Linked DNA regions of Macaca mulatta. The protein of the gene in region 1 interacts with the protein of each later gene in a pairwise test. Links are inferred from orthologs where the notes say so. Each region holds a gene or a part of one and is shown on either strand. Other genes may lie near its edges.

Region 1 (4,844 bases):
ACTTGTAACACATACTTCTATGCAAATCAAGAAACTTCTGAAGAAATGGAACAAGGTGGAGAAGCCTCGGGAATGCCCAACATTCCAAGGCTTCTCAGGATTGCAGAAAGAGAGGGAGCAAATCACAAGCAGAGGGTTGGCTTCTGGTGAGGCCATTTGGTCCTCAGAGACTTGAGAAAAGAGAGAGGAAGCAAGGTGGGATACTTGGCTAAAGAGCGGAGAAGGGGGTATGAATTTTCCTTATTGACATTTGTTCAACTTAGAGAAACTGGGAGCTAAATCTCAGCTAAAGTAGAAATGTCTTAAAGCTTAAGAAGAGAAGTGAAATTTTGCATTAAGATTAGTGAAGACTGAGCCAGCCTCCGCTAAAGGAAGAGAAATGATGTTCAGTAACTAAGAGCAGAGTTATACAACTGGAGAATAGGAATCTGTTGTTGTGTCTGTGAGGTACATTTATTATCAGGCAACTATCAGGTAATTCACAGTGCCTATAAGAATAAAGATATTCATATAACAAAAAGTCTGAAGGTAGGCTATTTCAGGTTTGGTGCAATAGCTTAACCATGGTATCAAAGGTCTAGCCCCCTGCCCTGCTTTGAGTCCCCCTCCCTCACCTCCACCCCACTTTCTTAGCTCACTCTTTTTTCCCATTTCTCACTCCCATTTCCTTCCCTCACAATATTGGGCTTAATGCACTGTAGCTATTAGAGTTTAGATGTCAACAGTAGAAAGACTCAGTGTGATCAAGGAATGCACATATCTAAAAATTAAAAAGTTTGTGTAAAATAATACTTTTCAGCCAGGCGCAGTGGCTCACACTTGTAATCCCAGCACTTTGGGAGGCCAAGGTGAGTGGATCACGAGGTCAGGAGTTTGAGACCAGCCTGGCCAACACAGTGAAACCCTGTCTGTACTAAAAATACAAAAATTAGCTGGGCATGGTGGCACGTGCCTGTAGTCCCAGCTACTCGGGAGGCTGAGGCAGGAGAATCGCTTGAACCTGGGAGGCGGAGGTGGCAGTGAGCTGAAATCATGCCACTGCACTCCAGCCTGGGTGACAGAGCTAGATTCTGTCTCAAAAAAAAAAAAAAAAAAAAATTTCATCTTTGTAACTTTAGCTTACTTCCTTGTAGACCTGATAAAAATCAGTCCAAGTGCAATGAGTTGAGAGTTGAGTTTCATTTGTTCTTCCCCAGAGTAGTATGTCCATCAGATGAATATAGAACTAGCAGGGGCTAAGTCCTTCCATATTCAGAAATTCTGTGAGAGGTGTGAGGAGACCTGGTAAATAATAACCTTTGTTTCGTGTTCAGGTTCAGAACCAATTGACAGGGTCGCAGGAGTAAAATAGATGGTTCTGGAAACCTCAGTTTCTTACTGACAGAAGTTAGAACAGATAAAAACGGCTTAAAGGCAGAGCTAAATAGGCTTGTACTGGCAGAGGAGGAATGTAGCAGATGTCCCTCTGCATAGGTCTTCTCAATGCAACTTGGGGCACCAAGGAGCATGGGATGTCTGCATCCTGCTCCTAAAGAGGACAGAGAGAGGGGTGTACCAAGGATACCCAGTTCTTTCTCCCAGGCTCAACAGTTAGTTCCATTCTGAGGAGTAAGAGGTAGAGAGAGGCTAGAAATGTTCAATCTAGCCAAAGTCCTTCCCATGGAAAAAAAGAGAAATAAGTATCTCCTCCCCACCCCAAGCCACGAAAGATTTAAGCTTCAGCAGATTTATCATGTGTGAGAGAATATGATTGAGGATTTTTATAACATGTTCTTTTTTTCTTTCCCAGAGAGTGTGCACCCCAGATTCCTTGTAGTACTCCTATCCCTGCTGAAAGGACAGTTACACATTTGAACACTCTGAAGGACCGTCACCCAGGTGATTTGTGGGCCCGGATGCACATCTCATCCTTGGAATATGCTGCAGGAGACATTACTCGAAAAGGGAGAAGAAAAGACAAAGCTCGAGTGAGTGAACTGCTCCAAGGTCTCTCATTCTCTGGTGACTCAGATGTGGAAAAAGATAATGAGCCTGAGATCCAGCCTGCTCAAAAGAAGTTAAAGGTGTCTTGTTTCCCAGAAAAGAGTTGGACCAAAAGAGACATTAAACCCAACTTTCCAAGCTGGTCAGCACTAGATTCTGGACTTTTGAATCTCAAGAGTGAAAAGTTGAATCCAGTAGAGCTTTTTGAATTATTTTTTGATGATGAAACATTCAACTTAATTGTCAATGAAACCAATAATTATGCTTCTCAGAAAAATGTCAGCTTGGAAGTCACAGTTCAGGAAATGAGGTGTGTGTTTGGTGTCCTACTTTTGAGTGGATTTATGAGGCATCCTAGAAGGGGAATGTATTGGGAAATCTCTGACACCAATCAGAACCTGGTTAGAGATGCAATCAGAAGGGACAGATTTGAATTGATTTTCTCAAATCTGCACTTTGCAGATAATGGCCACCTAGATCAAAAAGATAAGTTTACAAAGTTGAGACCTCTCATAAAACAAATGAATAAAAATTTCCTCTTGTATGCTCCCTTGGAAGAATACTATTGCTTTGATAAGTCAATGTGTGAATGCTTTGATAGTGACCAATTCCTGAATGGAAAGCCTGTTAGAATTGGATATAAAATTTGGTGTGGTACAACCACACAGGGTTATCTGGTTTGGTTTGAGCCCTATCAAGAACAATCAACTATGAAGATAGATGAGGATCCTGACCTTGGGTTAGGTGGAAATCTAGTAATGAACTTTGCTGATGTTCTTTTAGAGAGAGGTCAGTATCCCTATCACCTGTGTTTTGATAGCTTCTTTACCAGTATCAAATTGTTGTCAGCCTTGAAGAAGAAGGGGGTGAGGGCAACAGGAACAATTCGTGAGAACAGGACCGAAAAATGTCCCCTTATGAATGTAGAACATATGAAAAAAATGAAGAGAGGGTATTTTGATTTCCAAGTAGAAGAAAACAATGAGATAATTTTATGTCGTTGGTATGGGGATGGCATTATCAGTCTGTGCTCCAATGCTGTGGGCATAGAACCAGTCAATGAGATAAGTTATTGTGATGCTGATGATGAGGAAATCCCTCAGATAAGTCAACCATCCATAGTAAAAGTGTATGATGAATGCAAGGAAGGTGTAGCTAAAATGGATCAAATTATTTCAAAGTATCGGGTGAGGATAAGAAGCAAGAAATGGTACTCAATTTTGGTAAGCTACGTGATTGATGTAGCCATGAACAATGCATGGCAACTACACAGAGCCTGTAACCCAGGTGCTTCCCTAGACCCCTTGGATTTTCGGAGATTTGTTGCACATTTCTACTTGGAACACAATGCTGATCTGTCAGATTAAGGCACATAAAATGGACATAGTGCAGACATTAATAAGACATAGAAAAATAATTGTACATGCTGTTGTACCCTCCCGAAGTAAATCTGATATATGTAATGAAGTTATTAAATAATTAATACTTTTAAAAATCAGACATTTAGTTTCAAGGACTATTGTAACAATGTTAAAAATTATCTGTGAAAATGTTGAACTGTAGTACTTTTCTCTATGTCAAATTTTGTGTCAGACATGGGAAATCCTTTATTTGTTCAATTGACTATTTTGTGCGTTCATTTATTTATTTTTTGAGACACAGTCTCGCTCTGTGGCCAGGCTGGAGTGCAGTGGCACGATCTTGGCTCACTGCAACCTCCGACATCCTGGTTCAAGCAATTCTCCTGCCTCAGCCTCCCGAGTAGCTGGGATTACAGGCACGTGCTGCCATGTCCAGCTAACTTTTGTATTTTTAGTAGAGACGGGGTTTCACCATATTGGCCAGGATGGTCTTGATCTCCTGACCTCGTGATCTGCCCACCTTGGCCTCCCAAAGTGCTGGGATTACAGGCGTGAGCCACCATGCCCGGCTATTTTGTGCATTTAAAGAATGAAATCCTACCTCTTTAAAAAAATTCTCTGAAGACGGCCATTTTTAAGATGCAAGCAATGTCATAGTAACCATAGAATGATGCTGACTCCATAGTTCAAACTAGTGACACAGCTTATGAAGTAAGAATGGTCTAAACAAAACATAGGTGGTAGGAGACTAAAAACCTTAGCATTGGTGTAAAACTGGATTGGATTGTGTGTAAGTGAGAAGGGTCAGGCATGGATATTAAAGGAGAATGCTATAAAGGAAAAACCAGAGGTGAAGCAGTGCCTTCGAATATTGAAATGATAGGTGTATCCTGTGGTGATGGTGTGAGTTGGCAGCAGAAGTCAGGAGAGTAAAGAAAATCAAGGAAACATGAAGCAAATCAGGGTAATAAGTAACCGGGAGAGTTAAGGAAAAGATAGGCATAAAGTCAACGTAAAGACCATGTTGAAATCACCTGATCAGATATCTAGGCTTAAGGTCATCAGTGATAGGTAACTGAAGGAGAAACACTTGGAAAAGTGAATGATATGGACTGTGACTCCTTAGTGTTGAAGTCTAGTATTGGTGGATTAGTCTGGAGGGTAGAGAAGACAGGCTCCACCTCATTTCTGTGGGCTGTAGCCACAACAGCTCCTTGCCTTTCTTTCATATCCTAATATTTACAGTCCCTTTCCTGGCTGGAAGGCAAGTGGTCAGGTTTGAATTCTTTCAACAGGTGTGTTTATTATGTGGATGACTGGTGAAAGTGTAAGCCATGCGTAATGTCACAGATTCACCTATTCCATGCAAGATGTTCAAAGAAAATATAAGTTCATTACTTCCTGTAATTGATCTGATATTCTTTGTGAAATACATCACCAGGGTGGGTTGGTTTCTACTTTTAAATGATGAAGTGTCTGGTTAAGTACCTACCCACAAAA
Region 2 (6,732 bases), on another chromosome or scaffold:
AAGGAACAAGAGGCTGGGTAGAAAGAGCACTGGCCTGGGAGTCAGAAGACCTGGGCTATGGAGACAGAAGACCAGGGCTATGGTTCTGGCTGGGCCACTCCTTAGCCAAGTGACCTGGATCAGGGAGACAACAATGGGGCTGATGTTTACTGGACACTTGTAATGACTAAGAGGTGACATTGCTCCTATCTGTGCAACCCCCAAGACCCCCAGTATTCCCAATAAACATACCAGCTGAGCAAAGCTAGGGTAAGCACCTTGGATGTACAGCTTTAAGACAAGGTCCCAAGTCCTCCAAGTCCTCCTGTATGGAAATGGTAGATCTGCCACGATGTGCCAGACTCCATGCTTTATGTCTGCTATCAAAGAGACACTCTCATGGCAACCCTGTGAGATAGGTTTCTTATCTTTGTGTTTGAGGTGAGAAAACTGAAGCCCAGAGAGGGCAAGTAACTTCCCTGAAGCCACACAGCTGCTAAGAGATAGAGCCTCTTGTGGGAAATCACATTCCTAGGGCAGAGCAGGGAGGAGAACTAACTCTGAGTGCCTGCTGTGTACGAGGCACCTCCACAGCTGTTCAGTCCTCTGACAACCAGTGTCCATCCCAGACCTCTAGAGACTGCTTCTTCCACCATCTCACGCCACCTCCACATGCCACCCTAAGTGTGCGTGTTCTGGCATTCCACATTTTAGAATATGTTTTATTTGATTATAAATAGGAGAATATATAATAAAGACAAGTTATGCTGAAAGTATTTATGGAAAGGAGAGACCTCTGTGGGCTGGAAGCCTTCATGGAAAAACTGGTAACTGAGCCCTTTTTTTCCCTTCCTGTCTAAATAAATGTATTTCTCCCACACAGGCAAATATTTTAAAATGTATTTCAAAAGTTAGACTTCTGGAAAAAGAAAGGAAAAGAGGGGGTGGGGTAGCTGCTCCTCTAAGAAGCCCATCGGAAAGGAGCTGCTGGGGTAGGAAAGAGGAGGACACAGGGTGAGTGAGGAAAAGCCTGTCCCTTTCCCCCACCCTGACACCTTGCCATTTTTGAAGCCTCAGTTTCTTTATCTGTAAATTGACCTAATACTTGAACCTGGGAGAGAAATGTACAGGTTCTTGGGAGGTGATTTTGAGACAAACCAGAGGTTCTTGGGATCATTATGAAGAATGAGAGAAAGGGAATTCCGAGTTTCACCAAGAGTTTAGGATTGGTCCAGCAAAGGATTTCTGGGGGTGGGCAGCGGGGTGGAGAGAGGAATGCAGCCCCTGGAATGAGGGCTGAGTGGAGGTGTGGGGCCTCTTTTGGAGAATTTTGAGCACAGAAGAGATTCTTTGCTGCGTGGGGCCTGGCCTGGGTGCTGGAGATTGTATAGCATGCTCATAATTTAAGGTGGCTCCAAAAGGGAGCAGTGACTAGTGGCTGGCACAGCAGAGCACATGACTGCATCCTCCCTAATGGGTGTTCCCCAATGACCTTGCCTGTATGGAGGTATAGGAACAGAGATGGTAACCCCAAACCCCACCCACCCAGCCAGCCCCAACACCATTGCTCCAACCTTGAGCTGGCCTTCCTGACCAGCCTTTCCTGAGTGGGCAGCTGATGGGGGAGAAGGATTTGCTCAGGACAGGATGATTCTCCCATTTCCAAAGAAGGCTCCAGTCACATGGGAGAGAGAAACCTTCCAAGTGCCTGCACCCCCAGGAAGATTCTTACCGTGGAAGCCTGGGCCTGGAGACTCCGGTCAGAGGAGGGTGGGCCTTCCAGGGCTTCCTGGCCACGGTGGTGGGTCTCTGAGTGCATTAAACACTCCTGTGGATTGGGGAGAGCAGGGAGAACTAACCCTCAGGGTCTACTGTGTACAAGGCACCTCCACAGCTGTTATCATCCTGACAGCCAGATAGGGTGGATAATCTGATCATATCATCTTTGTTTTAGAGATGATGAAGCTGAGGCTCAGAGAGGTCAAGTGACTGCCCTAGGTCACACAGCGGTATGGGAGCAGCCAGGTCAGTGAATCCATCATCTGGGCTTTGCCGGGGCCTGCACCACCACCTCGGGCAGTGCCCTCTTCAGGAGGAAGTCCTATTTTTCTGTAAGCTGCCTTCTCGTGTGGAAGCTGGGTACTCTACTACCTGGGTTCCTTGCCCTTGGGATGGCATGAATGCCAAGCGATGCAGGCAGGGCGCCCGCAGACTCAAAAGGCCAGGCCCTGCCTTCGCCAGTAGCCGAATCGCTGTGTGACTTTCGGCCGCCACCGAGTCTCTCTGGGCCTCTCTCTTTCCACCTCTTCCTGGGGAAGCCCCGGGTAAGTTTATTTATAACCTAGCCCCAGGTGCGCCGCCTCGGGAGGTGTGAGCGAGGCCTCGGCACCTTCACCTGAGAACCAGCTCCCCGGCTCTGGCCGCTGGTTGTGTAACCGGGTGTGCGGAGTAGGGGGAGCCGCGGGGCGGGGCGCTCGCGGCTATTCCGGGCGCAGCTATTTTTAGCCCCATTGATGAGGCTGCGTCGGCCGCCGCCGCCGGGATTCCGGAGACGTCAATGGGCACGCGTCACGGTCCCCGCCCCGCCCGCCGGGGGAGGCGCGCCGGGGCTGGGACAGCGCGCGGGCGGCCGCGGGCGCGGGGGCGGGGGGCGCGGCGAGGCCGGAACTGCGGGCGGGGGGCTTCCTGGGGGCGGGGGGCGCCGAGCGGCGGCGGCGCGGCTGCAAGAGCGCGAGGCGGCGGCGGCGGCGGAACTGGCGGGGTCCCAGCGCGGCGCCCGCGACCCCCGGCCTCCAGGCATGGGCGCCCCTGCGGCGCAGAGCAGCTCAGGGCCTGCTGGTGCGCGACCCCGGAAAGCAGGAGTGGAGAAGCTAGAGGAGCCCGCGGGGCCAGGTGAGGGGCTGCCGGTGTGGCGGGAGGTGGGCCCCAGAAAGGCTGGGCAATCTCGGGTCTTTAGTGGATGCCTTGGGGCGGGCTCAGGGCCACGCCGGAGTCCCGCTTGGAAACTGGGGAGTCGGGGGAGGGACTGGATTCCCAGCGGAACTTGCTGGCTCAGAGTCAGTCCCCAAGGGCGACGGCCAAGGCTTTCTCTCCCCAGCCCGCCAAGGGTGGGGTTTGGCCCACGAGGGGCGCTGGAGGTGGCCAGGCCGGAGAAATTCCTTCCATTTCCCCGCCGGCTGCGGGAACCGGTTCCAGGAGCGCGGGAGCTTCCAGGAGTCTACCAGGAGACCCAGCCGGGAGGGACGGATGCTGCGCGATGCAACCCCTTCACGGGACTGAGTCAAGAAACCAAAGCTAGGGGTCTCGTGGAATCAGGCGGAGCTGGGGATTAGGACTTGGGGCTTGTGTCTCCCAGGCGTGTTTTTTTGGTGGTTGTTTTGTTTTTTTGCCGCAACATCTTCCCTCCTTGTATTGGGAGGGGTGGGGGCGCGGTATTTCCAGACCTCCTTACCATGGTGGTCTGTGTTGAGGACAGGACACAGTTCCCTGACTTGGCTCATTCCCCTCCACAACCTACCCCCCCCCCTTTTTTTTTTTGAAATGAAGTCTCGCTCTGTTGCCCAGGCTGGAGTGCAGTGGCGTGATCTCGGCTCACTGCAACCTCCATCTCCCGGGTTCAAGTGAGTCTCCTGCCTCAGCCTCCCCAGTAGCTGGGACTACAGGCGCCCGCCACCACGCCTGGCTAATTTTTGTATTTTTAGTAGAGACAGGGTTTCACCATATTGGCTAGACTGGTCTCGAACTGCTGACCTTGTGATCCGCCCGCCTCGGCCTCCCAAAGTGCTGAGATTACAGGCGTGAGCCACCGCGCCTGGCAGGCTCATATCGTTTTTATGCCTTCGTTTTTGATAGATGACCTGGTGGATAGGGGAAACGCTACAGAGGTGGTTTACAGTGAATTGTTAATTTGGATGTGGGGCTAGTATTAGCGGCACATTGGGAAAACGCAGGCTGAGCAGAGGTCGGTTTCACAACAGTTATGCCCAGTGGGTGCTGATGGATTTGGGGGCTGTTGTCAGCCTGGCCTGGAGCCCTAGTGGTGGGGCTACAAGACTTGCTCCTAGACCTACTCCAAGTGAACGTTTAAGATCGGTGACTTGGATGAAGACTTAAAAAGGAAGTCAGCCGACTCCTTGTAGTCATGCAGAGCTGTGAGGAATGACAAGTGCACAGTATAAAATCAAGATTCTAATTGAAGGCAACTGGGCAGAAGGATGGGCTGAGATTAACAATGTGAATGTGACTGACGAGGCCTGTGCTGAGGCCTCTGCTGGACTTAAGAAAGTCAGCTGAGGAGTTCAGGCCCTGTGCCTGGCTCAAAGGCCCAGGAACCCAGGCCCTTAGCTTCTGACATGTTCCCTGGACGGAGGCTGTGGGACTGCTCTGTGCAGTGTGAAGCCTCCATCCACTACACAGGTCCAAGTGGGCGGTAGGGGGAGCAAGAATGCCTGATTCTGGACTCCTTGGTTAGGCTCCCTGGGTTCTAATCTCAGTTTTGCCAATTCCTAGCTGTGTGACCTTCGGCAAGTTGCTTAACATTTCTTTCTGGGCCTTAGTTTCCTCATTGGTAAAATGTTTATAATAATAATCCCTTCTTCATAGCATTGTGAGGCTGAAATGAGAAAATGCATGTAAAGTGCTTAATGTATCTGGCACATGTTGTTTAACAAATATTAGCGGCTGTTGTTATTGCTAATAGTAGTAATATTCCCATTTCTGGGTAGGGATATTGGCCAATGTAGAGCTTGTACTCAGGAGGCCACCAGGGCCTGTCAGGCAGAGGGCCTGTCAGTGGTGTCCTGTTGCAAGGAGCAGTTTAGTTAAGAAAAGACTAAAATACTTGCTAGGAAGGACTAGAATGAGGCTTCCTGTGGGCCAGTGCAGGGGACAGAGCAGGGATCCAGGGACTTTTAGAGTCAGGGATGTGATTCAACATAAGGAAGAACGCTCTGGCTCTTGGATCTGCCCCCAAATGGAAGGGACAGCTCTTGAGCTGGAATGCTGTCCCCACCTAGCTGACCTTCCTCCCAGCACAGCTCCAATGCAGGCATGTGCACCCCCCACCTTTCCACGCACACTTACTGAGCACCTGCCAGTGCTGAGCAGAGTTTAGAGACTGCAGATTCTGCAGTGATTCTGATGGACAGCATCCTTACATTCTGGTTGGGTAGACAGGTAATAAACCAGTGAACAGATGTGAACATTAGACCTCTGATGAATAAAAATCAGGCTAGTGTGGTGGGGTGGGGGTACAAGCTGTTCAGGGAGGTGACATGGGAATGGAAACCTGGTTGATCAGGAAGAGCCAGTTCTGGGCAGAGGGAACGGTGGATGCAGAGGCCCTGAGTGGGGAGAGAAGGCCCATGTGACGGGACCACAGCGAGTGGCTGGGAAATGAGGTTGGTGGGGAGCAGGAACTGGGGACTGAAATCTGGCCTGATGGTCCACCCCATTTTGGGGGTCACTTTCTCCGCCAAGCCCACTCAGCCTTTGGTTTGCCCTCTGCCCAGTGCAGATTGTCCTTGACCTTGGTTCATCCCTTATCAGATCCTGGGGCTCTGGGATCTTGGTGTGCTCATTCTTGGCTCTCCTGTGGTTCGGGGCACGCTGCCTAGCTTCCAGGGGGTCCTCAGTAAATGCTTGTGGTGTGACTATTGAGGGGGGCATTTTGATCTGGAGCAGGCAGGGAAACAGATACCTGCTTGAAGATGCTAAAATCATTTGTGGGCACCACCAGGTGCCAGACTCTGGCCCCTGTTCTGAGAACCAGATGGGGAAGAGCTGGGTGCTCAGGTTGGGCCTGATTATGGTAGGTGGTATTTGGCCCTCCCTACCCTTCCTTCTCAGCAGTGGGCTGGTAGGGAGAAAAGACAAGGCTGGGGGAAATTATAGACCAGTTTCCAGGGGATGGGAGGATGACACTGTCATCCTGGAAAGCAGGTGTAGTCCATGGGCTGGGGCAGATTGGAAGCCTCGTCTTGCTTTCTGTTTAGGGTTAAAGATGCTCCAGATGTTCCAGTCTGCCCTCCCTTCCCTCCTTCTCTCCTGTGGCCTTTTCCTGCTCCCCATCATACCCACAGGATCGGGAGGGAGGGGTGCTGGTAATGTCGTAAGGGGAGAGCCTGGGTACTGTGGGCCAGAGGTCCTCCCCTTGGCCTGTAGACCTTGGGCAGAGGTCAGGAGGACGAGGAAGCCCATTGCCCACCCTCTGGGGTCCTCCTCCTCTTTGTCCCTCCTAGCTCCCATCATCTCCTTCTCTTTTCCCAGACCTCATCGGTCTTAAGGGCAGTCCAATAGCCAGTGAAGGCCTGGTCCTGCCCTCACTCTGGAGCGTAGTCGAGAGGAGAGAGCACTGGAGTGGGTGGAGGAAGAGAAGGAGAGATGTGGGTCAAGGTACTCTAGCTGAACGGGGTTAGGGGAGAGCTGAAGAGGCTGGGGTGTGGGGTGAGGCACATAGTTGGCTTCCACCCTGGAAGGAGAGGCCAGGTGCCCAGGGTGCCTTGGACTAGGAACCAGGGTCTGTGGCTAGCTTTTATGTGTGTGTCCTCATTGAACTTCTCCTAATAATGACATGTAGCAGATATGTGTATCTAGCACTGTCCTAAGTCTTTTACACATTAACTTTTTTTAGCTGGGCGCAGTGGCTCACGCCTGTAATCCCAGCACTTTGGGAGGCCGAGGTGGGCAGATCACGAGGTCAGGAGATTGAGACCATCCTGGCTAATACGGTGAAACCCCATCTCTACTAAAAAT
Region 3 (6,669 bases), on another chromosome or scaffold:
ATGAGTTGGATGCTATAGAAAATATAATATAGAGCATTTCATTATAAAATTATCTTGAATTAGTTTGCCTGTACATTTCCCTGTGTTGGAAAGGATATAATTTTCAATAATAAAATTTTGAAAAGGCCTACATTTATCAATAAAAATAACATACAACATGAATGCAAATGAAAATGTAGAAATTAATTATTGTCTATTAGCATTATTATGAAGTAACTATCAAATAATTATGGATTTAAAACAGGTGAACAAAAGGAAGTCCAGTTAGAAGTTTTTGAAATTTGAGAGGCAATCTATGTCTTCCCAATCATAATACTCCTCACAAAATAGAAAAGAAAAAGAAAGACAAAAGATCATTAGAATTTTATTAACTGTGTGAATACATGTTATGAAAGAATGCATATATTTTTGATTTTTAATTCAATCTTTTAGATTTAATTTTATTAGTCATAATCTATATTGCATGCTGGCTTTCTAAAGATTATCTGTTAAATAGTTCTAATTTTGATTTATTTTGTTTTCTGTCTTATTGCTTTAGGCAGAGTTATATTTAGTGTTTAGAACAGTTTCATTGATTATAGTATACCGGAATTGAACTGAAGAAAACCACTAATTCCTGAAAGAAATAAATGTAAATGCAGGAAGACCTAGAAACTAGAAAAACAAAGTACATTGGATTGTTTTACAGTTTAGAAGTAAGGTTTTAAGTGTTCATTTATTTTGGTACATGTAAAATGAATGCAACAAGTTTTATTGTGAACGTACCAATTAATGTTATGTAAAAATAATAACATTTAAAAAATGTGTAAAAGTATATGGAATCACTAAATAACATGCATTAACCATAGCAAAATTGTTCCATAAATTTTATAATGCATAGTTCCGGGGGAAAATCAATTCCTTAGTTTTATAAAATAAAGTACATCATAAATCACATAAATTACCATTGGGTATTTAGCGTATTTGGATACATTTTCAAAATTCTTTATTTTAGAAGAAGGAACTGAAGGACGTAGCTGCTACTTTTTGGCAAAATATAACAGAAATAATATTTCTATACTCAATAAAGTTTTCAGAAACAAGTTACAATATTAATTTCATTATCCATCCTTAAGTTCTTATATTACGACTATGTGTTACCAAGGAAAATTTACCTATTAGGTAAAATTCAAAGTAAAATTTCCTACTTAATTTTAAATATTTGAAGTACCATGATAACTCATGTCACACGTGTGCAGAAGAATGGCAACTTTTAAAAGAATCGTCATGAATCTTAAAGTAAAATGTAAATACAATTTTGTTGTGTTGCTTAATATGAGTTCTATTCCGCTTAAAAAAAAATAGTCCTAATAAAAAAAAAATCTCTACCTTTACTCTTGAATGTCATTATATTTAAGCCAAAGAAGCAATAGATATACACACTCATCAAGTTTAAAGAACCTAGCCTACATTTAAAATCATTATAGTTGTGGAGCCTACAAGAGCTAGGTAGCTTACCTTTTCACATAATCAACCTCTTTATAATGTGTTACTGGATATTGAAACCTTCCATGAAATATTGGCATTAATATAACTTTTCTTCAGGAAAACTCAAGTATATTGCAAATATTAGATAAATACTATGTCATATATAGTTTTAAATGATTGTTTATATAAATTTTATGATAAACTTTATAATTTTTACCATTCTTGATATCATTAAATAAAGAGGCATCTTCTCAATATTGGATTTTATGGATGTGAACACTGAAGTAGCTGTTATAGGAAAGCTAAGGATTTTTTTTTCCTGTTTTTACTACATTTTAAAAATTTCTCTAAAACCTAGAACATAAAATTCAATATTCTATCTTATTCCAAATATTTGAATAAATTAATATTTAAAAATCTTTATGTAATGATTAATACATATTTAGAAATCCAGAGAAAATTAAAGTCCTATTTAATTCTGGAATTTACCAAGACCTCCTTTTTAGTCCTTCATTTTTTTCCTTTCAAATATTTTCCTTATGTTGTGTTTTCTATAAGAAAACTGGACTTCATAATTTTTGTTGATATTAAATGTTTTGTGTCTCCAATTAAAAAGACCTGTCTTACTACCTTTGCTTTCATTGCATGCCTTTGCAATGACTTCCTCCTTTTCTAACCTTTCCTAAATTTTTCTTCTAGAAAAAGTTCTAGAGCCTGACTGACTGGGGCAGGTTGTAGAGAAACTTCTGGACAGATTGTTAACATCTGACACAATGAGTGAGAAAAAATCCAGCACAGTCACTGGGCAGGTTTAAGAAGAAGTGGCAGCTCTGGGAGATGAAAGATTTGTGTGTTCTTGTTGCTAGTTACCTGCAACACTCTGGTTAAATTCAAATCCATTCATTTGGTAATTGCTTAGCTTCCTCTAAACCAATGTAATGCAAACCAAAAGGACCATTGTGGATGTTTTGGACTGATGTCTGCAGATCATGTGTAATTTTAGTCTGTCTTGTCTGACATTTTCCACAATGCTTTAGTTGACAGCATTGTATTATGTAAATATTTCTGGTTAGGCTTATTGAGGTGGTTGCCTAAATCTCACTTTAAATAAAGCCTTTAATGCTTTCACCTAGAATCCATAGAGAAGCTACACAAGTTGGGGAAGTTTAGTGTTGCTCTTTGTACTTTAACTTTTAATATCAGAGCACATATTGAAACCATAAACACAATGAAAATACAAAAAATATTCCGACGATATTAGAGGACTATAACTCCCCCACCTCTTTTTATTCTTAAAGAGCCAAGGGCGTGGGGAGTGGCAGGAAGAAATATTCTTAAGATCTAAGTCCTGGACGCCATCCTGCTAGTGCTTAAAGCCCCTAGAAACGTGCAACCTGAACAACACCCCCTTTCGAAGTCTAAAACAATATTAGATTCCCAAAGTATCGGCAAAGAAATTCTTACCGTCAAAGACTTGCAGCAGGTTTCAGCTCAGACCCAGACTGAAAAGCTGAGCAGCTGGTGAACAAAAGTTTTAGTTTTTTTTTTTTTTTTAAACGAAGTCTGCAAAACTAATTTCCCTCAAAATAGAGCTCAATTTCCGTTAAAGAAAGCAGCGCTTACAAATCTCAGAATTCCTGATCAACCCCCACTCCACCCCACCTCTAAGCAATAGAAAACAATTCGATCTTTCACACGGATGTTTTTGAGAAGCCACTATTCTACAGCATGACTTACAAGAAAAGAAGATAGTGAGGCTTAAGCAGGGGGACTGGAAGAGGAGGGGGAAGGTTCTGCTTTGGGGACACCTCTCAAAGATTAATCAATACTTTTTCCTAATTCAAACCAGATGTCTAGCCCAGTTTGCTGTACCCATTAATCCCACTAACAACTTCAAAGACCTGCTCATCATCCTCTGGACACCTGAGACAATGAAAATAACGGGGCGACACTGCTGGTGGTGCATTTGGGGCCCCGGGCGGAATAGGTGACTACAGATATTCTCCTGATGCGACAGGTCCCAGATGGGACTTGACTGTTTCTCCTGCTCATTACAGAGCCACTCACTTGTGTGTAAACGACTCTGCCCCCAGCGGACCCTGTCACCCGCCAAACAAGTGGCAGTCTCAAAGCCCTGCCATCGTTCTTGCATGCTTACTGGAGGCAAATTTTCTAATTTATTTTCAGGGATGCAAAGTTATAGCCAAGTGCCCAAGCTTAGTGAATTTTGGGAGCTATCGAAATGTAAGATTTCTCAGTAAATGGGACGGTGGTGATAAGGGATGCGATTAGCGGATTTATTTTTGAGCGGAAGAGAGTGGATTTCTGTAGGAAACTGCGGAGACCTAGGCTAGCTCCTGAGGGGAAAGGCTAGATATGTGCGTGCAATCTACACATCTCATGTGACCGGGACAAAATCGCCTGGAAATATTTTTGACCCAGGAAAATTTCTTCTTGGTGGACAAGTGGCTAGGAAATTGAGCGGGACCAGGAAAGAGGGGGAAGGGAGACTCCACCTGGCATCGCACAAGAGGATGCCAGGGAACAGGCATCTGCAACCCTTTCAGACTCACGCCTTCCTCCCACCCACCCTACCGGGTCCCTCTTGGTTCCGCACTGAGAACTGCCTTTTCCAGGCCATGGTACTCATCCCCACAACCTCAGATCTGGCGTCCCAGCCCATTAACAATCCACCCACAGAAACCAGCTGTGAAAACCTAGGCGCGCTGCGGCGCCCAGGGCACTGGAAGATGCGAAGTTTGAAAAACTTCGAGGATGCGCCTAACTAGCTCTGATCTTTTCGTTTAACCCTATTACTTCTTTTGGGTTCCTGAAAGGCTAGGCATATCCCTAGCTTTTCTGCAGGTGACAGTTCACAAATGACACTGACAAATCACGTTTCCCGGAGAGGAAAGTGAGTAGGTAGGAATCAGGGTGCTGGGTTGGGGGTGGTGTGCGCCGCGCCCAGGCCTCCAGAGTCTGGAGGGCAGAGCTGCTGCCCTCCCGGGCGGGACTTAGGCACTGGCGTGCCGCTTGTAGCCCTGGCAGCCGGCAGTGCTGGGCGGGCGTGGACGCTCTGCGTCTGTCCAGCAGGCGATAGGAAGTGGAACTGGGGAGCGCGTGGCGCAAACTGAGCGGGAGTTTTGGAGGGAGTTTGCATGTGGTCAACTCTGGGCTCCTAAGCCGGCCCCCAGCTCACGTTACACTCTATTTATAACCTCTCAGAGCCATTTCCCCCTGAAAGCAGTTCTCTGGGACCACCTTCTTTTGGCTTCAACCTCTCCCACTCTTGACATCTGAGTAGTTCAGGGAAGCTCTTCCAGGTCCGACTGTTCATATGCAAAGGAGACTGGCCGCTGGGGCTCAGAACCGGGATTATCCGAGCTCTGCAGAAGTGCACGGCTATTGCTTTGGGAGGGTAAAAAAAAAATCATACAGTTTCCAGTGAAAAGTGACAGAGGGTGGTGGCCTTTGGAACCGTCCTGAAGTCTTCTGCCTGGAACCTGAAACTTGCATGCTATGGAACACCCGCTCTTTGGCTGCCTGCGCAGCCCTCACGCCACGGCGCAAGGCTTGCACCCGTTCTCCCAATCTTCTCTCGCCCTCCATGGAAGATCTGACCATATGTCTTACCCCGAGCTCTCTACTTCTTCCTCATCTTGCATAATCGCGGGATACCCCAACGAAGAAGGCATGTTTGCCAGCCAGCATCACAGGGGGCACCACCACCACCACCACCACCACCATCACCATCATCAGCAGCAGCAGCACCAGGCTCTGCAAACCAACTGGCACCTCCCGCAGATGTCTTCCCCACCGAGTGCGGCTCGACACAGCCTCTGCCTCCAGCCCGACTCCGGAGGGCCCCCAGAGTTGGGGAGCAGCCCTCCGGTCCTGTGTTCCAACTCTTCCAGCTTGGGCTCCAGCACCCCGACTGGGGCCGCGTGCGCGCCGGGGGACTACGGCCGCCAGGCACTGTCACCTGCGGAGGCGGAGAAGCGAAGCGGTGGCAAGAGGAAAAGCGACAGCTCAGGTAAGGGCTCACCAGGCACCCTCGAGAGTGCGCGCCGGCCTGGAAAGGGGGCGGAGAGATGCCAGGGGAGATTCTCGCACTACAGGGTGGCAGCGGGGAATATGGGAATGTGTTGCCCTTTGTGGCTTCCCGCGGCCAAATTCGGCGGTGAAGCTTTGGTCCTGATATTTGGGGGACACGTGTTTATCCGAGAGCAATGCATATACAGCCAGCAGCTCTAAGCTCTCCAAGGTCCTAAACTAGTTTACCAGAAGGTTGATAAAAAAGGACAAGTGGCTGTGAAATCGATTGCGAAGCGTGACCTTCCATCCCAGCGCTGGGGAGGGAGGGGCGTGCGCCCAGAGATGCAGCGTCGGTTGGGCAGGCGTGCGTGCGGGTGCCGCTTCTTGACTTTTCTCTTGCAAGTTCCCGACTGTGAGTGGCTCGATTTTTCCCATCGTTAACTGGATTTCCAAATCATTGCACAATATTTGGAACTTGCAGTGGAACTTGGCAGAGCGCATGAGAAAAAAAAAAGTTTTAGTTTTTTTTTTTTTTTCTAACATTCTTATTTCAGCGTTCTTTAAATAGCACCCTATTTTAAATGGTAAAATTTTCCCTTTATTGGGGAAAAAGACATTATCTAGGAATTCAGATTTTAAGGAATGTGTCAGAGAATTGTAAATAAATAGATGCTCACATTGGAAGAAAGACGAACCTTAATAGTACATGTTCATGTGGTGTAAGCTAATTACAGAATCAACGTTTCAAAAGTGGAAAACAAATCCCTCTACCAAGTGGGTATTAGTAGAGACAAATACAGCGAAGCAACAGTAGCTCGGGTAGTGTTAGTTAGCTACGTGCCTGAAGGTGGTATGTAAGGGTGCGCGTCGGAGGCGCTGATTTTAGTGGGGGATAATTTGAGCAGCCACGGAAAAGGGAAACCTTTCTGACCTCTGGTACTTGAAGACACACTTGCCGAGTAACTTTTCTGTAGCAATCCAGAGAAACTCAAAGTTTTCCAGACCACTTTTCAAAGCTCTTACCTACCTGTATTATCATAAAATTGTTAAAAGATACTTTAAAATTAAGAGACTTGTGAGTTTTCTTTCGTGGCTATAGTGCAACCTGGATTGCATATTTTTGGAAGATATCATTTGTTTAATATAATATTTGCATATTTTTCTTCC
Region 4 (6,003 bases), on another chromosome or scaffold:
AGCTTGTGAAATGTGAAAAGAGAGAAGTGATTTAAAGATGGGACTGTTACTTAAAAGGGAAGCAGAACTTAAAGATCAGGAATATTTGTCAGCCTATGTTGATAAGAGCGAGCCAGCCTGTTTAGGAGAGAAGATAAAGGTTTTGCCATTGAAACTGAGGCTGGGAGCTAGTCCAAGAAAATGGAAAAATGACCCCAAAAGCAATTCAGAAATCATCAGAGCTGTTCCGCCCATCACAGGCCCAGAGCACAAGACCCGCAGCAAGCAGGGGACCATAGCAGAGAGCCCCGCTTCAGTCACCCCTGAAGCCCTAGATGGTAGGGCCATCAGCAAAGTTCCAGCCCAAGAGAGCCTTGGACCTCTGAAGGAGACACAGAGCTGCCACAGAGGTGGAGCTGCCACAGAGGTGGGGCCACCACAGAGAACCCCCTTGAGGGCAGGCCCTCACTAGGGGCTGCCATGGGGCAGGACCACCCAGGGCCTTGGGGGCTCAACTCCTGCCCAGTGAAGGTGCCACCTGTGGGTTTGGAAGGTGGGGTCACCTCCCAACACAGTGGGCCTAGGGAGCACGGTATCAAGACAAAAAGGATTATTCTCGAGATTAATCTCAGGCCGTAAACCATAATGTGCTGTGACCTGTAGGTTTAGGACTTGCTTGGGACCTGTTACTCCTTTTCTTTTTTTCTATTTCCCTTTTTTGGAATTGGAATGTTTATCCTGTGCCATTCCACCTCTGTGTGTGTGGGGGGGGGTTCTTTTTTTTTTGAGACGGAGTCTCACCCTATTGCCCAGGGTGGAGTGCAGTGGCACGATCTCAGCTCACTGCACTCCACCTGCCAGGTTCAAATGATTCTCCTGCCTCAGCCTCCCAAGTAGCTGGGATTACAGGCACCCACCACCACGCCGGGCTACTTTTTGTATTTTTGGTAGGGATGAGGTTTCACCATGTTGGCCAGGCTGGTCTCAAACTCCTGACCTCAGGTGATCTGCCCGCCTTGGCCTCCCAAGGTGCTGAGATGACAGGTGTGAGCCACCACGCTGGCATCACCACTATATTTTGAAGGCACATAACTTGTTTCATTTCACAGGTTCACAGCTGGAGAAAATTTTGTCTCAGGTAGAATTGTGCCTTGAGTCTGAACCGTAACTGATTTAGATAATATTTAAATGAGATGTTGGACTTTGGACTTTTGAATTGATGCTGGAATGAATTAAGACTTTGGGGGTTATTGGGATGGAATGAATTTGTTTGGCATGTGAAAAGGATATGAATTTGGGGGGAACCGGGGCAGAATGCAATGGTTTCAGTGTTTGTATCTCCCCAAAATTTGTGTTGAAATTGTAATCCCCAAGATGATGGTATTAGGAAGTGGTGCCTTTTGGGGAGATGATCTGGTAACAAGGGCACAGTCCTCATGAGTGGGATTAGTCCCTCCTAAAAGAGGCCCCGGAGAACTCCCTTGCCCTCTCCATCTTGTGAGGACACAGAGGATGCCTGTGTTTGAACCAAGAAGTGGGCCCTCACCAGGCACCCAGCCTGCTAGTGCCTTGATCTTGGATGTCCAGCCTCCAGAACTGTGAGGAACAGATTTCTGTTGTGTAGAAGCTGCCTGTCCTACAGCATTGAGTTATCACAGCCTCAATGGACTAAGACTGAGACACCTAGCTCGTCCCGGACTGAGGCATCCCTGTTCTACTGTGCTTTCAGAATCGGGTTTCTCCGTTCAAGGACATGATTTTATGCTTCTCTGAAGAGGATTGGTCCCTTCTAGATCCTGCCCAGACTGGCTTCTATGGAGAGTTCATCATTGGGGAGGATTGCGGGGTCTCAATTCCTCCAAGTAAGACTTAACTTTCCCCCGTACCTCAAGACCAGGGAACTGGGCAGGGGGTTCTCACTTGGAGTAAGAGTCAACTTCGTCCCATAAGATCAGGGAAGCGGGGCCTGCATCATATTTCTCTGTTCACCCCCAACCTGGATGGGAAGTCATTTGCACACAGCGGCCCTATAGGCAGTGTGTCCGACTGATCACCTGCCATCTCACCTCATCAGGCTTATCAGAACCAAATAGAACATGTGCTGTATGTCCATTTCTCTTCCATCGCTCTTACCCTTTCGTCCCTTTACTTCTGCTTTACACCCAAAAGCCTCAGAGAGACCCCCAAGCCCATAGCTCTCCCTGCGTGTGCTGCCCCCACTGCCCCTGCGCTGCCGGCTCTGGCGTTTTCACTTCTCGCCCCTGATGGTGCCACGCCCGCTGGGCATCCCTCCACCTTTTCTCTTCTGGACCAGCCCTGGTTGCTGCAGGATCAGATTACTAATAAACATGTATCCTGCCTTTTTCTTTGAACAGATGAGCTAGCGGCCCAGCCGGATCTCTCCCAGAGAGAGGAGAATGAGCCTCGCGTTCCAGAGCCGCAGGATCTGCAGGGGAAAGAAGTGCCCCAGGTCTCCTACTTGGGTGAGTAGTGATTCCGGAACTGAGTGGACAGAGTAGGGTGAAGGGTTGCTGGCAGCCAGAGATGAACCCATTTGCTGGCTTCTCTCTGCAGCCCCTACTTGCCTTCTTCATTTCCCCAGACTCTATGTGGGTCTTGCATGTCTTGCCTTGTCCCTGACTTTTCATAGAAAGAATGGGGGATCTTAATTTTGCCAGGCATTGGGATTGTACTCCCTCAGCCAAGGACTGGGAAATAATAGGAATGTCTGTCTCCTCTGCCTGTAAGTAACATCTGGTTTGTGCTGACCATACAGCGGCCCCTCCAGGAGTGAGGTCAGATACTCACGACAAGCCTGGTTGCAGAGGGAGTGTCTCCTCCTAACTGGGCACCGAGCACAGCCCTTTGAGGTGCCTCACCTGTCTAGTCTTCCATCTGCCTGGTGCAGGGGTGCTGTGAGGACACTGGGGTGTGGGGAGGTGCTGGGGCTCAGCAGCAGCAGTTTCCAGCCCTCCTTCAGGCTGTGTCACCAGCGCTTGCACCCATGATCTCCATGCCATGGTGCTTCGAGGCACCTGCTCCTTCAGGAGGAAATTTGACAGAATCAGCAGCAGCTCCACACCTCCTTCCCCTTTGGGACCTAGAGCGTGAAGCAGACAAGGTTTTGACACACCATCCCCACCTGGAACAAGCGTTCAGAGACGGCGTAGCACAGTAGCTCCTGTCCCATCTCTACCCCGTAGGCTCTGCACAAGCTGTTTGTGCAGGATGTGTGCAGAGTGTGCAGAAGCCTGTGGTGATGACTACGGAAAACCCACCACAGAAAGTGGGAATAAATGCGGGGCTCGGGGAGGTACTTGTCTCTGCCATAGAGTAAGTAGAGTAGAACCCGGATCTGCGTAGACTCTGTCTAGCTTCAGAGCTCATGTTTGTGGAGTTGGCCCATTCTGCCTTCAAGTTCATTCGCTCAGCAGACACTTCCTGAGTGGCCGCCCCCTGCCAGTCCCCAGGAGGGAGCCCAGGGCCGCCCCCAGATCATAGCCTGGCATCTGTTCAGATAGCACCCTTCCAGGTAGTGCTGTAGGTGCAAGACAAATCAATTTTTCCGTTTCCTCCTCTGGAAAGACTCTCCAAGTCTCCAGCCATTCCAAGTAGAAGAAAGGAGGAAACGTGAGGAGCTGCAGGTGCCGGGGTTCCAGGCCTGCCCACAGACGGTGGTGCCTCAAAACACCTACCCAGGTAAAGAAGGGCCAGGGAGGTGTGGGGTGTGTGCCTGTGTGTCTGTGTGTTCACGTGTGTATCTGGTGTGTCGCATGAATGTATGTGTGCACGTGTGGATGGGGGATGGTGGTGTGGAATGCATGTGTGCGTGCATACACACGGTGTGTGTGGTGTGCTGCATGTGTGCGTGTGTGCGTTCCCAGGTGCACCTGTGTGTTGGGGGCATGTGGGTGTGTGATGGAAATGTGTGGTGGTGAGGGCATGGGACAGTTAGGAATTGAACTTCTTAGGATCTCCGCTGACCGCTGCGGTGGTGTTCTTACCTGCTTGCCCAGATTCCTCTGTGCTGTGGTCATTCTCCAGCTCACTCCCAGTCCCAGGCTCACCCTCCTTGCCTTTTCTGGGGACCAGGGAGGGTGTGTCAAAGCAGGGTGCTGCTGTAGTGCTGTTGGTGATGTGCGAATGTTTTTCTTCTCTCAGCATGGATGACCAACATCCTGGCACAGGGTCTTGGAATTGGGATTAAAGAGCAGGTTTCTAGTGTACTGAAGCTGCACAGGACTCTTGGAAAGTGTATGTTCCATTCCTGCTTTCAGAGAAATAGCCACAGTGTAGACTCTGAGTCGTCTTGGTAAAAGTCACCACCTCCAGAAGCAGAGGCTGCAATGCTGCCGTCTTTCATAAGTTCTAAATATCAAACCCAAGCCTCTGATTCTTACCGGAACCCACGTGTCACTGTAGTTTTCTGCAGCTATGGAGACCGACTCACACGCATTATGTGTTCTACCTGTGATGCTTTTGAAGGCAAGATTTGTGCCATTTTGACCCAGCTCCATGCATCTTGTACTTGGCCCCCTTTCATGCATGGACAAAGGGGCTTTTCTAGTGTGGGAGATCTGAAAGGATGAGATCCTGCTCCACAAGCATGGATGCCCACCCCTGGTTTTCTAAGAAGCCCACCTCTGCATGCCAAGGGTGATGCATTCATTTGGGGTCCACGTGGAGTTCAAGCGCAGGCTTGATGTTTGTGATGCACTTTGAATCTTCTCCAGCTTCTTTCTGCCCATAGCATGTCTCTCAGCCCTATTAATATACTTTTAGAAGATGGATGGATGTTCATTTGTACACAGGAGTTTTCAACTCCGTTCTTCCCTTGTTGGACTCTGACACAGACTGCTCTGAAACAGTCAGAAGCCAAGGGTTGCTACTGAGAAGGGAGAGATGATAGATTTCAAAGAGTGGGCACTGTTTTTATTTTGGTAGCTCCTGCCAGCTTGCCTTCCTAAAAGGCTTTTCCCGCCAGCTGATGCCGGATAGCTGGTGACAGGTCTGCTTCTCTATATCCACGCCCACACAGGACACTCCCAGATGTTGCTTACCCTCTGGTGTTTTGGGCAGACTTCTAGCAGTCTCATCTGCTTTCTCCAAGGAATTTTCTTCATATTGTTGTGTTGATAGCACATAATAGGACTATCCTTGATTTATTTCCCCTTTTGTAGAAATTATGCATCGAATTTTGGTCATTTTAGCTGATTTGAGGTGATGTTGTCCACTGTGAGCTATATTACTCTGTTAGGGCTTTCATAACAAGTACCACAGACTAGGTGGCCTAAACAACAGAATTTTATTTTCTCACTATTGCAGAGGCAACTAATAGAAGATCAAGGTGTCAGCAGAGCTGGTTTCTTCTGAGGCCTCTCTCCTTGGCTTGGAGATGGCCACTGCCTTGCTGTGTACTCACGTGGTCTTACCTCTGTGTTTGTCAGTGTCCTGATCTTCTCTCATAAAGACACCAGTCATATTGGACTGTGGAGCCCACCCACCCATATGTCCTCATGTTAACTTAATTACATCTTGAAAGAGCCTATCTTCAAATACAGTCACATTCTGAGGTCCTTTGGGGTTAGGACTTCAACATGAAATTTTGGGAGAACACAATTCATCCCCTGTAAGACCTCACCCTCAGGACCTTCAAAATCCATGTCTCTCCCACATGCAAAATCCATTCACCTCATCCCAACAGCCCCCAAATTCTCAGCCTATTTCAGCATCAACTGTAAGTCCAAAATCTCCTCTAAATATCAACGTCTCAAATGGGTATGGGTTAGACTTGAAGTATGATTCATCCTGAGGCAAAATCCTCTCCAGCTATGAACTGTGAAGCCAGATGTTTTCTGCTTCCAAAGTACAACTGTGAGAACAGCATAGCATAGACCATTCTCGTTCCAAAAGAAAAATCCAAGAGAAGAAAGGGTAATGGGTCCCAAGCAAGTCTTAAATCTAGCAGGTCAGGGCTAGGTGTGTATTACGTGCCTGTAATCCCAGCACTTTGGGAGGCTGAGG
Region 5 (6,648 bases), on another chromosome or scaffold:
CTGCAGCTAAGCCTTGTTATAACCTGTGGCTGTACTCTAAGTGGCTAAGGCAGAATGGCTCACTGGAACCCGGGAAGCAATGAGAAACTGCCTCATGACAGTCTCTTTGGAAGACAGAGAGCTGAGTGGGAAATGGCCTTGCAGGAGCTGCTTACAAGTCTCTCATTGCGCTCATCTTCTGGGAGGATACCAAGGTGTTCTGCCAAGATTCAGATCAGCTGTGGTTCAGGCATTGCCTATGTGGTCTATGTGGATATGTGCAAGATTGTCAGGCCCTGGTATGAAGCTGCCCCCTCCATTCAGGTTGTCCAGAGGAACATGATGTTTTATCTTGACTAGACCTTTAAGATGGCAACAAGGGCCACCATTCAGAAAAAATCCCAGAGGACCTCAGAAGGATGGTGTTTCAAAGCAGGTGTTATTAGCGTCTGCCTTCAAAAGAGTAACTTAGTGAGGAAAACCTCACTGTGGTTTCCATGTAGTATTTTAGAAGGAATTAGGAATAGAATGGAGGCCAGGTACGGTGGCTCACACCTGCAATCCTAGCAATTTAGGAGGCCAAGGCAGGAGGGTCACTTGTGCCCAGGAGTTGGAGAGCAGTCCAGGAAACATAGGAAGACCTCATCTCTGAAAAACAAACAAACAAACAAACAAATTAGCTGGGCATGGTGGAGCACACCCGTTGTTTAAGGACTTGTCAAAAGTGTAAGTCCAGCCTTCCACAAGCATTTCAAGATAAATTATTACGACATAAAATGGAGGCCTTTAATTAGGAGAGTGAAGTGGTTTGATTTGTAATTTTAAATAATCGCATCAGCACCAGTTTTATGGTATAAAATGCCCAGTTACTCAGGAGGCTGAGGTGGGAGGATCACCGAGTCCGGGAGGTCGAAGCCACAGTAAGCCAAAATTGCACCATTGCCCTACATCCTGGGTGACAGAAACAAACAGAATATAATCACAGGAAAAGGGTTTTGTAAAACTTTGCAACATTTTTAACTTCCCCAAGGTTTCGTTTGAGATTTTTGTTTTCCAACACTAATTAGATGTAAAAACTCATAAAACAAAAATGACTTCAGCTAGCCTTTATGAATCAGAAAAGAGGGAAAAGTTGGGAAGAGCAGCCAAGCTGCTTGGGGGCCGTATCCAAGTAGCAGAGTGAAAAGGCTGGATTTCTGAAGCTTCCTGCAATGAAGAGAGAAGTGTTAGCACGGGTTGTGAGAAAGGCTCTGGTCGGAGTGAAAAGCAATGGTATACCATCAGCTGCTGGCTCACTTGCTGTCTTCATGCACGAACCCAGCAGAGCCTGACGGCACTTTGCAGAGGGCATTTTCCCGAATGAGGCAAAAAGTCAAAGCCTGAGGAACTTGAAATGCTTATGTTAGGTTGGATCTACACTTTTGACCAGTCCTTAAACAACAGGGCTCCTTTGTGTGGTGTCTGATGCCAATCATGTGACCTAACTAAAGGCAGCAATGTAACCATCCCACAATTCATTTATTTATTCAACAAACATTTATTGTGTTCTCTATTTACCAGGCAGTCAGCTTCCTGGGTCTAGGCTGGGATGCTGTGGTGAACAAGACAGTCAAGGTCCCTGCCCTTAAGGGACTTAAAGGCAAAACAAAACAAAAAACAAGTAAATAAATGAGATCACTTCCATTAATAATAGTGCCATGAAGGGTCATGTGTCATGAAAGGCTGGCGGTGAGGCTGAGGATCTTGGGCCACACGGAGCTGAAGAGCTGAGGTGACTGGGGGCGCCAGGGTCTGGGGGTGCGGGCAGGCAACAGACCATGGGGGACTTACAAGACATTATAAGGAGTTTTTATGTCATAAATTATTATGGCATAAATTGGAGGGCTTTAAATAGGGGAGTGAAGTGGTCTGATTTGTAATAAATGATTGCGTCAGCAGCTGTTTTATGGTATAAAATGCCCAGCTTGAAGATGACCATGCATTCTACAAATTCACCGTGACATCGTTGCCAAAACCCTTAACCTGTCTCATCTAGTTTTCCTGACAAATAGGTCAGAATAAAGCTCCGTGACATAACTAGTGGGAGCCAAAGATTTGAATCACGTCTTGGTTTCAAATCTTGCTACCCACAAATGAGTTGTGAGCTCTTGTCAAGTTACTTACTGTATTTGTGCCTCAACTATCTCAGCTGTGCAATGGGGATAATGAAAGTTCCTACATCATTTATTTGTGAAAAAATAAATGACATGTAAAGCACGACGAGAGCGCCTGGCACAGTGTAGTAAGCTTTCACAAATACTCGCTTTTATTCCTTCTTGCAGGGAATTACTTAGAGGATCCACAAGATAATGCACGTGAAAGGGCTTGCGAAACTGTAAGGACTATCTTAATGGTAGAGTCCTCTACTTTTCTTTTAAACGGTCCAGAGGACGCTAGGCTGTTCGAGGCGCGAGGCCAAGCGCAGCCTCAATGCGGTCATTGTCGTGGGGCCGCCCCTCCCCCGCCCGGGGAGCTTCTCCATGGCAACGTGGGCTTTACCTCTCCCCGCCTCCTCAGGCCCGCAGACCGGAAGCAGCCCGTGCCGGGGGCTTCTGGGAAAAGGCTTGTGAACGGTGTTTCTGCGTCTGCCGTGGACAGCGAAGCTGCTGCGGTTCCTGAGCCAGAGGTTTGCGCCGGTGTGCGGGGAACGTTATGGGAGGGAGGGGGACACCGGGCTAGGGTCTGCGGACCTCTTAGCAGGAGCCGGCGGGGAAGCCTTCCCGGGACCTTCCTCAGCTTCCCGGGAGGCGCGGGGAACAGGCCGCGCTCTCCGCGCCTAGCAGTTGTGGGGCGGGGAGAGGTAGGCGGCAGGCTTGCTTGGGTCTTCGGCGTCTGCAGAGTGCTCTCTAACCCCCGGTGTCCTCCGAGACCCTCACCTTCCCCCTCCCCCACCGGCCGGTTTTGTTCTATTTCGAGGCCCTGGCGTCTCGCGGAGGGTTCTGGGAGTCGTGTTGGGAGGAGGTGGTATGGGGCGAGACTTGCGCGGGGCTGTTGGGATTTGTAGTCCCACCGGCCGCAGGCGGAAGTGCCGTGGTTCCGACGCTGTTGTCACAGGGTGGTCTTTGGTCATGTGAAATCCGCCGTCCTGAGTGCTGGGAAGAGGGGCTAGAGGACTGGCCGGGATCGGGGTACACAGCAGGTCTATGCAGCAGTAAGGTGGGCGATCACCTGGAACGAGGTGCTCTGACCAAACATTGTCGGGACCGTTGGCCTTCCCTCCATTTCCCACAAGCAGTATGCTCTACAGCATGAAAGGAAGAGAAATATATGTAGAAATAGTTGCACCGTTGATAAGCAGGGTCTTGGAATAGGAACAAATCAATGTTGGCTAGACCTTATTTATAAGGCCACCACACTCCAGGGTATTTAATTAAACCAGTATGTATTACTTGTCTGATAAGGCCTTTTCTGATTCCAGTCTTCATCTTGCTTGGGTTACGATAAGTTTTTTTAAGTTGTTGTTCATAGGCTGCATGGCTCATTGCTAGTATGTGTCGTAAACAACAGCACGGGCATGATAGTGCAAATAATAAAGGTCCAGAAACAGCATACAGTTTCCCTGAAGGTAGAACTGGGGAAACTGTGAGTCATCCAGTGTAAGGACAAGACACTGGACCACTGCAAGAAGTTAAGGTGCTAATGCGAGTGCCTTTTCTTAATAGAATTTTCTGTGATTAATGCCTATCATTATAAATATAAATGTACGTATGGTGTGGTGGAAGACTGAATATTTACGTATTATGTGCAAGATAATTTTTCAAAATATGTGATCTGTTTTTCACATATGATCTTTTCAATATTATGTGATCTGTTACTCAGCAAGTGAACATTTTTTCCACATATATTTTAAGTCCAAGGAGTTCTTAAATACCTTATTTTTTAAGTGGTAAAATTTTTTTAAGCACATAAAATAAAGCAAACCTTCGTTTTGGTTGAAACAGGGTTTCACTATGTTGGCCAGGATAGTCTCGATCTCTTGACCTCGTGATCCGTCCGCCTCAGCCTCCCAAAGTGCTGGGATTACAGGTGTGAGCCACTGCGCCAGGCCCAGCTTTTTGCTATTTTTAAATTCATTTTTTAGAGACAGGGTCTCACTCTGTTGCCCAGGCTGGAATGCAGTGGTGCGATCATAGCTCAGTGGAGCCTTGAACTCCTGGTCTTTAGTGATCCTCCTGCCTCAGCCTCCTATAGTGCTGGGATTACAGATGTGAACCACTGCACCTAGCCAGTTTTTATTTTTTTTTCCTTTTGGAACTTTTTTTGTTAAAAACTAAGACAAACACATGCATTAGCTTAGGCTTACACAGGGTCTGGATTATCAATATCGTTGCCTTCTGCCTCCCTATCTTGTCCCACTGGAAGGTTTTCAGTAGCAGTAACGTGCATGGAGCTGTCATCTCTGTGATAACAGTGCCTTCTATAATAGCTCCTGAAGGACCTGCCTGAGGCCATTTTGCAGTTAACTTTTTTTTTAATAAGTAGAAGGAGCACACTCTAAAATGTATAGTATGAAAAGTATAGTAAATACATAAACAAGTAACATAGTCGTTTATTGTTGTTATCAAGTTTTATGTACCATACATAACTGTATGTGTTAAACTGGCAACACAACAGGTTTGTTTACACCACCATCACCACAAACATGTGAATAATGCATTAACCTTACAACAGCTACAGTGTCACTAGGTGAATCTTGAATTTTTCAGCTCCATTATAATCTTATGAGAGCACTGTCATCTATGTGGTCCTTCATTGACCCAAACATCATTTTTTTGTTTGTTTGTTTTTTTTTTGAGACTGAGTCTCACTCTGTCGCCCAGGCTGGAGTGCTGTGGCCGGATCTCAGCTCACTGCAAGCTCCGCCTCCCGGGTTCCCGCCATTCTCCTGCCTCAGCCTCCCAAGTAGCTGGGACTACAGGGGCCCGCCACCTCGCCCGGCTAGTTTTTTGTATTTTTTAGTAGAGACGGAGTTTCACCGTGTTAGCCAGGATGGTCTCGATCTCCTGACCTTGTGATCCGCCCGTCTCGGCCTCCCAAAGTGCTGGGATTACAGGCTTGAGCCACCGCGCCCGGCCTCCAAACATCATTTTGTAGTGCATGACTGTGTTGGGTTTTTTTAGGCCATCTAGTCTGTTGAAACTACTCAACTCTGCTATTGTAGCGTGAAGTATGAGTAAGTACAATTTTTTATGGACACATTCATGTTAATTTCGTATCATTTTCACTTGTCATGAGGTATTCATTTGACTTTGGGGAGCTCCATTCCCTAAATATCATTAGGTATTCATTTGATTTTAGAGAGCTCCATTCCCTAAGGCACTGTGGTGAAGACCACAGCCATTTAAAAATGTGAAAATTATTATTGGTGCAAGAGTTGTACAGCAATGGGTGACAGGCTAGATTTGGCCGCGAAGCTGTAGTTTGCCAATTCCTAGTGTAGGTTATTGACTGGAATTTTTAACTCCATCAAAGAACAAGTATCTTTTACTTTTACCAGTGTAAGTCCAAATTCTTAGGATATTTTTGCTTATTTATATATCTTTTATTTCTTGTGCCTCAGGAGTGCCTGTGAAGAAAACGGGGTATTGCCCTGAGGCTTATATTCTGCCTCAGTTGTATTTTCTTGAAATATTATAAATCAGAATGTCTGCACAGTCAGTGGAAGAAGATTCAATACTTATCATCCCAACTCCAGATGAAGAGGAAAAAATTCTGAGAGTGAAGTTGGAGGAGGATCCTGATGGCGAAGAGGGATCAAGTATCCCCTGGAACCATCTCCCAGACCCAGAGATTTTCCGACAGCGATTCAGGCAGTTTGGATACCAGGATTCACCTGGGCCCCGTGAGGCTGTGAGCCAGCTCCGAGAACTTTGCCGTCTGTGGCTCAGGCCAGAGACGCACACAAAAGAGCAAATCTTGGAGCTGGTAGTGCTGGAGCAGTTTGTTGCCATCCTACCCAAAGAGCTACAGACTTGGGTTCGAGATCATCATCCAGAGAATGGAGAGGAGGCAGTGACAGTGCTGGAGGATTTGGAGAGTGAACTTGATGACCCTGGACAACCGGTGAGCCTGCTTGTGTCATTTCCTGGGTCAGAAGCACTGGCATAGTAGTAGGCAAAGCTGCTGAATTAATTCCACTCAACTAAATTAGAATTAGGTTTATACCTTTTCCCCCATGCCCCTACCACTCCCTGTTATCTGTGCTTCTTTGCCATCTAGGCTTCTGCAATATTTGTTTTATGGGGTTTCTCTTACATGTTTTTAGTTCTGATTCTCATTACAGTTCCTTCTCTGAATCACATCTTTCTGTTTCCAGGTTTCTCTCCGTCGACGAAAACGGGAAGTACTAGTAGAAGACATGGTATCTCAAGAAGAAGCTCAGGGATTACCAAGTTCTGAGCTTGATGCTGTGGAGAACCAGCTCAAGTGGGCATCCTGGGAGCTCCATTCCCTAAGGCACTGTGGTGAGGACCAGAACTCTGTGTGGACTAGAGGGTGAAAGAGAGCGTAGGCCGTTTGTTCCGAACTTTGCTTGTTCTCACTGGTTGGGGGGATCATATCACTCTTAATCTAAGATCTCAGTTTTTTTCTGATTAAGTTGATTTTGCTGGCCTCAGATCTTTTATTCCT

What was found.
Region 2: the proteins of PGBD1 (region 1) and NR4A1 interact in binary tests that used the Homo sapiens proteins (3 or more experiments, as listed by UniProt). The two-hybrid records come from large-scale screens. The link is inferred for Macaca mulatta from reciprocal best matches to the Homo sapiens genes PGBD1 and NR4A1.
Region 3: the proteins of PGBD1 (region 1) and MEOX2 interact in binary tests that used the Homo sapiens proteins (3 or more experiments, as listed by UniProt). The two-hybrid records come from large-scale screens. The link is inferred for Macaca mulatta from reciprocal best matches to the Homo sapiens genes PGBD1 and MEOX2.
Region 4: the proteins of PGBD1 (region 1) and ZNF496 interact in binary tests that used the Homo sapiens proteins (3 or more experiments, as listed by UniProt). The two-hybrid records come from large-scale screens. The link is inferred for Macaca mulatta from reciprocal best matches to the Homo sapiens genes PGBD1 and ZNF496.
Region 5: the proteins of PGBD1 (region 1) and ZNF24 interact in binary tests that used the Homo sapiens proteins (3 or more experiments, as listed by UniProt). The two-hybrid records come from large-scale screens. The link is inferred for Macaca mulatta from reciprocal best matches to the Homo sapiens genes PGBD1 and ZNF24.

The regions. Positions count from the first base shown.
Region 1 is NC_133409.1:155,043,071-155,047,914, reverse strand, and holds the end of PGBD1 (piggyBac transposable element-derived protein 1), read left to right. Parts: intron 1-1,789; coding exon 1,790-3,350; 3' UTR 3,351-3,565; downstream 3,566-4,844.
Region 2 is NC_133416.1:59,216,281-59,223,012, forward strand, and holds the start of NR4A1 (nuclear receptor subfamily 4immunitygroup A member 1), read left to right. Parts: upstream 1-2,683; 5' UTR 2,684-2,777; coding exon 2,778-2,871; intron 2,872-6,732. UniProt on the Homo sapiens protein: Orphan nuclear receptor. Binds the NGFI-B response element (NBRE) 5'-AAAGGTCA-3'. Binds 9-cis-retinoic acid outside of its ligand-binding (NR LBD) domain.
Region 3 is NC_133408.1:112,578,784-112,585,452, forward strand, and holds the start of MEOX2 (homeobox protein MOX-2), read left to right. Parts: upstream 1-3,011; 5' UTR 3,012-4,986; coding exon 4,987-5,500; intron 5,501-6,669. UniProt on the Homo sapiens protein: Mesodermal transcription factor that plays a key role in somitogenesis and somitogenesis and limb muscle differentiation. Required during limb development for normal appendicular muscle formation and for the normal regulation of myogenic genes.
Region 4 is NC_133406.1:1,728,379-1,734,381, forward strand, and holds part of ZNF496 (zinc finger protein 496), read left to right. Parts: intron 1-1,708; coding exon 1,709-1,841; intron 1,842-2,354; coding exon 2,355-2,462; intron 2,463-3,564; coding exon 3,565-3,678; intron 3,679-6,003. UniProt on the Homo sapiens protein: DNA-binding transcription factor that can both act as an activator and a repressor.
Region 5 is NC_133423.1:57,126,596-57,133,243, forward strand, and holds the start of ZNF24 (zinc finger protein 24), read left to right. Parts: upstream 1-2,570; 5' UTR 2,571-2,644; exon of another isoform or gene 2,645-2,654; intron 2,655-5,578; 5' UTR 5,579-5,661; coding exon 5,662-6,081; intron 6,082-6,334; coding exon 6,335-6,482; intron 6,483-6,648. UniProt on the Homo sapiens protein: Transcription factor required for myelination of differentiated oligodendrocytes. Required for the conversion of oligodendrocytes from the premyelinating to the myelinating state.